Tribolium castaneum: one gene and its partner. The protein of the gene in region 1 purifies or fractionates together with the protein of each later gene. This does not show direct contact. Links are inferred from orthologs where the notes say so. Each region holds a gene or a part of one and is shown in the gene's direction. Other genes may lie near its edges.

Region 1 (3,453 bases):
GAAACAATATTATTCTCTTTCTTTAAGATTTATATCAGTTAGAAATTCTATTTATTTTTAAGTAGTACCGTTGAGGTGCCCTTCCAGTTAACAACAATTTAACAGTCTTGTTAGGCATTTTAAACATATTATTAGTCAAGCCAATTTTTGTCCGATTGGCGGTTACAGGGTTGCAACTCCTTCAAAACCTGCTACCAACTGAAACATTGATTCTGGATCACTTTGTATCAAAAATGAATACACAGACCAAAATTAGCTTGTCTTCAAAAAAGTTAATTTAGGAATTCCTTCTTACCTTTTGCTCCTGCGATGAAATTACACGCGAAGATGCTTCTTCCAAAGAAGGAAACGAAGGAAATAAGATGAAAACAGGAAGGACAAGGAAAAATATTAATTTTCACAATTCGACGACACTTGAATATAACGGCGGAGAGTTCTCAAAAATCTGAAAAGCTCTTACTTAAAATAGTGTTTCAAACACAAAACACAACGTCATGGTACCTTTTTTCCCTTTTTTCCGAACCCAGAGTACCATCAAGACACTTCAAGACCATGGAATATCAGCGACCTCTTCACAAAATGAAATTAAGTACTATTCGTAAACAGAAAACTGTAATCTTCTTAAATCAACAAAAGGCACAACAAAAAATATGATTAAGAACGCAAAAGTGTTAATATTGATTACTAAAGTCTTAATTTTTACGAATGATAATGATATTATCATTTCCTATTTTCTTTAAATAAATAATTATATAAATAAATTTGTTGGTTTACTGCGTTTGTAGTTAGAACATTTTGGTAGCAGTGCCAAAATGCTAAAAGTTATCAATTGGTGTTACAATTTGGTAGATTTTTTTTTAATTTCGATAAAATACTGTATTTTTCGAGCTGAAAACCATTCGCGAGCAGGCTCACCCAACCGCGCTTTTTTTCCGTGACATTGTCTATTGTCATATGTCATTCCTGGAGGTTATGTTTTGATTGTGTGTGTTTTTAGTGCAATTGTGATTCAGAAAAAAGCAGCGGAAATGCATTTAAGTACTTTAAATGTGGTGTTTTAAACCTTCACACGTTTCTTCTTAATTGACGAAAAACTGTGCTAAATATTGCCTTGTCTAAAGCTTGTGCAACGTTAGACAAGAGGCGATTTTGCAATCATGAATATGCGAGATAAAGAGAAATACATTGAAAATTTCCATTTCCCGTTCTGTGATGAATCGGAAAAATACGAGAAAATTGCGAAAATTGGCCAAGGAACGTTCGGGTAAGTGACTTAGTTGGGGTTACTTGGGGTCACATATTGTGCCCCATTTGTTGTATTTCTCCGATTGTAGTGAAGTGTTCAAGGCGAGGGACAAAAGTAATCCTAAGAAATTCGTAGCAATGAAAAAAGTGTTAATGGACAATGAAAAAGAGGGCGTAAGGGGTCATTAATTTTTTGCAAAGCTTTCAAACTTGTATTCTAGTTTCCAATCACAGCTTTGCGCGAAATACGAATTTTGCAACTATTGAAACACGAAAACGTTGTTAATCTTATAGAAATATGCCAAACTAAGGCTGCATACCGCAACAGATACAAGTCAACGTTTTATTTAGTGTTCGATTTTTGTGAACACGACTTGGCCGGGTTGTTGTCAAACGTCCACGTTAAGTTTAGTCTAGGAGAGATAAAAAAAGTAGTGCAACAATTATTTAACGGTCTGTATTACATACACAGCAACAAAATTCTTCATAGAGATATGAAAGCCGCCAATGTGTTAATTACAAAGAATGGTGTTTTAAAATTGGCCGATTTTGGCCTAGCTCGTGCATTTAGTACCAATAAGAATGGACTGCCAAATAGGTGAGTTCAAACAGTAAATTAAAAAATTGGTCACTAGTTTGTAATCTACTATTTCAGATTTACAAATCGTGTCGTTACGTTATGGTATAGGCCTCCAGAACTGTTGTTAGGTGAAAGAAACTACGGCCCCCCAGTTGATTTGTGGGGGGCTGGCTGTATTATGGCCGAAATGTGGACAAGGTCCCCCATAATGCAGGGCAACAGCGAGCAACAACAGCTCACTCTGATTTCTCAACTTTGTGGCACCATCTGCCCCCAGGTCTGGCCAGGAGTTGAGAATCTGGAGTTGTACAAGAAGATGGAACTCCCCGTCCAAAAGCGAAAAGTAAGTCCCGTAGGAACAAAGATCGCTTCAATTATAAGCCTAGAATATTTATTTAATCCTCTGTACGAGGTAATGTTTCCACCACGTTCTGAACTGTAGTTTATAAACCGTAATTATTTACATATAAATTCGGAAAAAATGTGATTAAACAAGATCACAGATTTTATTTTTATTATTATTATTTTTTAATCTTCTCCAGGTGAAAGAGAGGCTGAAGCACTACATGAAAGACCCGTACGCTTGTGATTTACTCGATAAGCTGTTGGTCCTCGACCCCGCCAAACGGGCCGATGCTGATACGGCCCTCAACCATGACTTTTTCTGGACTGACCCAATGCCATGCGATTTGAGCAAAATGTTAGCCACTCACACTCAAAGCATGTTTGAATATTTGGCTCCGCCGAGAAGACCGACACAAATGAGGCATCATTCGTTGCCAAGACCGACAACTTCCGCTGTGCAAGACAGCGGATACCAAGATAGGGTTTTTTAGTTGTAAGAAACACGGACATTGTGGTTATTTTCAAGTAATGTGGAAATTGTTTCTAAAGTGGAAACATAACTGAAGGTTTTTCGGGAACCCTAAAATTTGATGTTACTTTTTATTATCTTTTTGTAACGTTTAATATGATGTTACTTAGTTAACATAGCGAATAAACTGTGTAAAAACGCTTGGTGTTTTTTTGGGGTGGAATGAAATGACTTGTTAGTACATATTATATATTTTATTGGTTTGACTGCACTGCCATCCGGCCTTACAATTCAACAACATGGCACACTGTACATGTATCTGTAAAATAATATATATGTATCTGTACATATCTGTTAGCTTGTTTCATAGATCCTCTACATAGGTAAATAACATTCTTGAAGGAGAAACCTTCATTCAAGGCACTTCAATAATCATTGTCTTCTCTTCATTTAATTAGATGTAGTTTCCTACCCATTTCAAATTGTTCTAAATTAACGCAATAACATTGTAACTCTGTTGCTAATTTAGTTGAGCTTACCGAAAGTTTTGGCAAAAAGAACTGGTAAATAAAATGAACCACTCATAACAATGACCTTTCAGAATACTGATTACGAAACCGTAAAATTTTGAAGGCAAATATCACAGAATGCCCAACAAATTACACATTAAATCACATTTAATTGTAAAACATTGCGGAGGACGTCAAACTTAACAAACGAGAAATTAATCAATCATGGCATATTTACATTTTCGGGCGCGGTTAAATTTAACCCCTCCTTCACTTAATTAACTTAACATTAAATTGAATTTATC
Region 2 (3,691 bases), about 2.1 Mb from region 1:
TGTTTTTCAAAATATCTTTGCAAATGTACATACTATAACTTTTTATTTTGAATTTGCCTCATTAATTGTGGCCAAAAGCCAAAAGATAAAAACATCTCCAAAAGTACATAGTTAAATAATAAATAAGCACGAAAAAACATCGGCAAAGATACTATGAGTTAGTTATGATAAATGTTTTTTTTAAATGACTGTTGTAATTTAATCTGATGAATAATTTTACTTATGGTTTCATAAAATTTAAACCTATTGTAAGATTGCTCAAGTTGGTGGCTTATATGTTGCTAAGGCGATAACATCAGTACTTATACGTGCTGATGTTTAAATTTCACAATCCATAAGGCAAACAATATAAGTATGTCAGTGATTTAAGTAACTTAATGTAATAAACAACTTACTTTTATCATTTTATCGGTGACTTTATAGTTCGTTTCTAAGAAAGATGAAATCAAGGTGAGTATTCAGTTTCACATAATGGATTATTTGAAACGATTTGAAGTACTATTCAAATTCATGGTAAAACTTAATTAAATTAGTTAATAAAGTATAAAAGTTTTTTTTTCATAATCTAAACTAAATACATAGAGTTATTCACTTAAGACTTCACGCCTGATTAGGTAAAAAGTGCAGCACACAATGCACTAGGAGTAGCATGGGTGTAATTGATACAACTAAACATAATTATTTTTTGAATAAGAGCTATCTCCTATGAATAAGAGTAAGCGGCGTATAATTTAAAAAGTAAATGATTTTTTTTGCATTCTAAAAACATTTTTTTTAATTAGGCAACCAAATTTACCTCCAACAAATATTTTTTTTCTATGGTTGGCGGCAGTTTCTTTTTCAATTTCATTTCCAAACGCTAAGTTAGGTTATAATTTTCATTTTTACTTCTGCAAAGTATTGAAAATGGAAAATGAAACGAAAGAAAATGCAAATGCACACGACGATTCAATACTTAAAAAAGGTCGCCATCGAAAAAAGCAACTCTACAATTCCATTTTGCAGCAAATGGAATTTTATTTTAGCGACTCTAACCTCACCAAAGATAGATTTCTATCTCAATTAATAAAGGAGAATCCTTGTAAGTGACTATATGATTATTTTATGAGTAGTTGTAGGTAAATACCAAGCACTTTTTTCAGTTGTCGACCTGAACGTATTTTTGAAATTTAACAAAATTACTAAACTCACAACCAGCATAGATGATATCCAAAAAGCTGTACAAAAGTCGCAGTTAATCGAATTATCAGAAGATCGTAGTAGAATTCGTCGTACAAAACCGGTTAAAGAAAAGGCTAACGTTGATGATTGTACGATTTATGTAGAACGCCTAAAATCCGATGCAACTCATGAATGGTTGAACTCTGTTTTTTCTGAATTTGGAAATGTGGTCTACGTTTCTATACCAAAATACAAAAACAATAGTGCCATAAAGGGTTTTGCTTTTGTCGAATTCGAGAAAGAAAAGGAAGCGCAAAATGCTTTAAATTACTTTGAAAGCATTGGCTGCAAAATGCCGTCAAATACAGAACCAGAAACTCTTTGTAGTATTAAAACATTTGAAGAAAGTAATGAACAATCTGAGGCTTCCTCTAAAAATTCTACACTGAAGCCAAAATCTGGAGAAGACGAAAAGGCAACAAAAAAGCGAAAACTTGAAGACAATAGTGAGAATAGCGAAAAACTAGATAGTGAACACTGTGAGAGTAAAGCGGAGGAAAAAATAAGAAAACGAAAACTTGAAGAAAGTGAATCCGGCGAAAGTGAAGAAAAAGGGAAAAAAATGAAAGTCGATGATAGTAAGCACACTGAAGAAAATGATGAACACAGTGAAAGTGACGAAAAAGAAAAAAATTCAAAACATGATACTGGAGACGTTTCTGAGTCGGACGATGCCGAAAATAAGAAAAAGAAGAAATTGAAAAAAGAACACAAAAAGAAAAATTACATAAAAGAATTGGGCCTCCAAGTGTTATCAAAGTAAGTGAAGCAGCTAGAATTATCTTTAATCATTGATAAATAATTGTTTTTTAGAAAAGAGTGGAAAAAGATGCGAAATCGGTATCTAGATTTACAAAAGAAGAAAATGAAAGAGTTTAAAAAACACCTTCTAAAAGCCAAGTTTAATCAACCAAATTATGAACAAAAGTCGAAAACTCCCACTGCTAAGACTGAACTCAACAAAGAGGATTTTACCAAGGGACTTATTGTAAAAATAAAGCTAACCGAAGCTACCCTGGATATAAAGAAACTTAAGGTAAATTTTCTAAACTAAATATCTTGGCCAATTTATTTGCGATAAATCGTTTTTCAGAATGAAATTAAAACTTCTTCAGCTGATATATTGTACGTAGATATTCCAAACCCTGGCAGTGAGAACATTTATGTAAGATTTAACACCACGGAGGGCGCTAAAAATTTTTGCTCCCAAGAATCTTTTGGCAAAAAAGAGGTATTAACAGGACAGGAAGAATCTTCATATTGGGAAAAAATTAAAACAGATCGTGAGGATAAACTAAACAAAGCAAAAAAGAAACAACGTGGTAGAGACAAACTGTTAAAGAAAGCAAAACATACAAAATTTGATGATTAAGGTTTTGTTTTCAGTTTAAATTTTTTTTAAATATTCTTTATTTATTAACTTTGTCAAACAGTGGCACCATCCATTTCGTGTTGTTTGCTGACATATTCACACAAAAATTTGAAATAACCTGTAGTTCTTATTTTTCATAGATCTATTTTCGTAATAAAAATTTCATACACTTAATGGAACAATTGCCAACCACAAAAAACATTGGTCACAATTTCAAGTCTACCACCTCTTGCCGCCGCCGCCCCCTCCTCGGCCGCCGCCAAATCCACCCCCACGACCACCTCTAAAACCGCCGCCGCCCCCACGACCCCCACGTCCACCGAAATTGCCGCCTCCTCTTCCTCCAAACCCGCCGCGATTGCCGCCCCCTCTGCCACCACCGCGGCCTCCGCCACCCCCACGACCTCCCCCTCGACCGCCTCGTTTCTGGACTGAGCCTGGGGGCTTCGGTAGGAATCTTTGAAGTGGTAACAACTTCGCAGGATCAATAAACAACTGCAAAACATTATTTTAGATGTGTGAATGGTAAGTGAATTTTTTTATACCTTTTGATTCTTTTTAAAACTGCTAGCTTTTATGTCGTCTCCGAGACGTATCGAAACGTAATAATCTCTGAGATTTCCAAAAATTTCATCAATTTTTCCGATTTGTTCCTTATTTTCGAGGTAAATCGGCGCATTGAAAAATGGAACGTCTTCTATTTCTACTTTAGCAACTAAATCATCTTGTACGGTGTAATCGAAGTAGCCCAAAGGAATCACTCTCTCAGGAGGGCCTTGATCATAGTTTCGCCCGCCGCCCCCGCGACCACCAAAACTATTTCTCCCGCCGCCTCCACCAAAATTTCGAGCGCCGCCGCCCCCACGACCACGACCTCCAAAGCCGCCACCACCGCCGCCTCGGCCACGAAAAGACATTTTGTTTCACTCCTCAAATAATTAGAAACGTAAAAGAGCGTCCCTTTGTAAACACGTGGTTTACACTAAATTTTCAGTGCGGCAACATAACCTCTCCTGCAAACGTAACCTCCAACTGTAAACACTCCTAAACTTTGGGCCCTCTAGGAGTTTTCTGAGTTACCATCAAAACAGAAAACTG

What was found.
Region 2: the proteins of Cdk9 (region 1) and Larp7 purify together in Homo sapiens (affinity purification with mass spectrometry; 15 studies listed by BioGRID and IntAct, counting the BioPlex papers as one, with this or other methods). This does not show direct contact. The link is inferred for Tribolium castaneum from reciprocal best matches to the Homo sapiens genes CDK9 and LARP7.

The regions. Positions count from the first base shown.
Region 1 is NC_087394.1:32,586,053-32,589,505, forward strand, and holds Cdk9 (cyclin-dependent kinase 9), read left to right. Parts: upstream 1-931; 5' UTR 932-1,157; coding exon 1,158-1,264; intron 1,265-1,334; coding exon 1,335-1,419; intron 1,420-1,466; coding exon 1,467-1,843; intron 1,844-1,900; coding exon 1,901-2,168; intron 2,169-2,367; coding exon 2,368-2,661; 3' UTR 2,662-2,839; downstream 2,840-3,453. UniProt on the Homo sapiens protein: Protein kinase involved in the regulation of transcription.
Region 2 is NC_087394.1:30,501,945-30,505,635, reverse strand, and holds the start of Larp7 (la-related protein 7), read left to right. Parts: upstream 1-825; 5' UTR 826-906; coding exon 907-1,081; intron 1,082-1,142; coding exon 1,143-1,980; intron 1,981-2,034; coding exon 2,035-2,257; intron 2,258-2,314; coding exon 2,315-2,593; 3' UTR 2,594-2,812; coding exon of another isoform or gene 2,813-3,088; 3' UTR 3,089-3,138; coding exon of another isoform or gene 3,139-3,510; 3' UTR 3,511-3,691. Other genes in the region: Gar1 (H/ACA ribonucleoprotein complex subunit 1), read right to left, coding at 2,813-3,088, 3,139-3,510. UniProt on the Homo sapiens protein: RNA-binding protein that specifically binds distinct small nuclear RNA (snRNAs) and regulates their processing and function.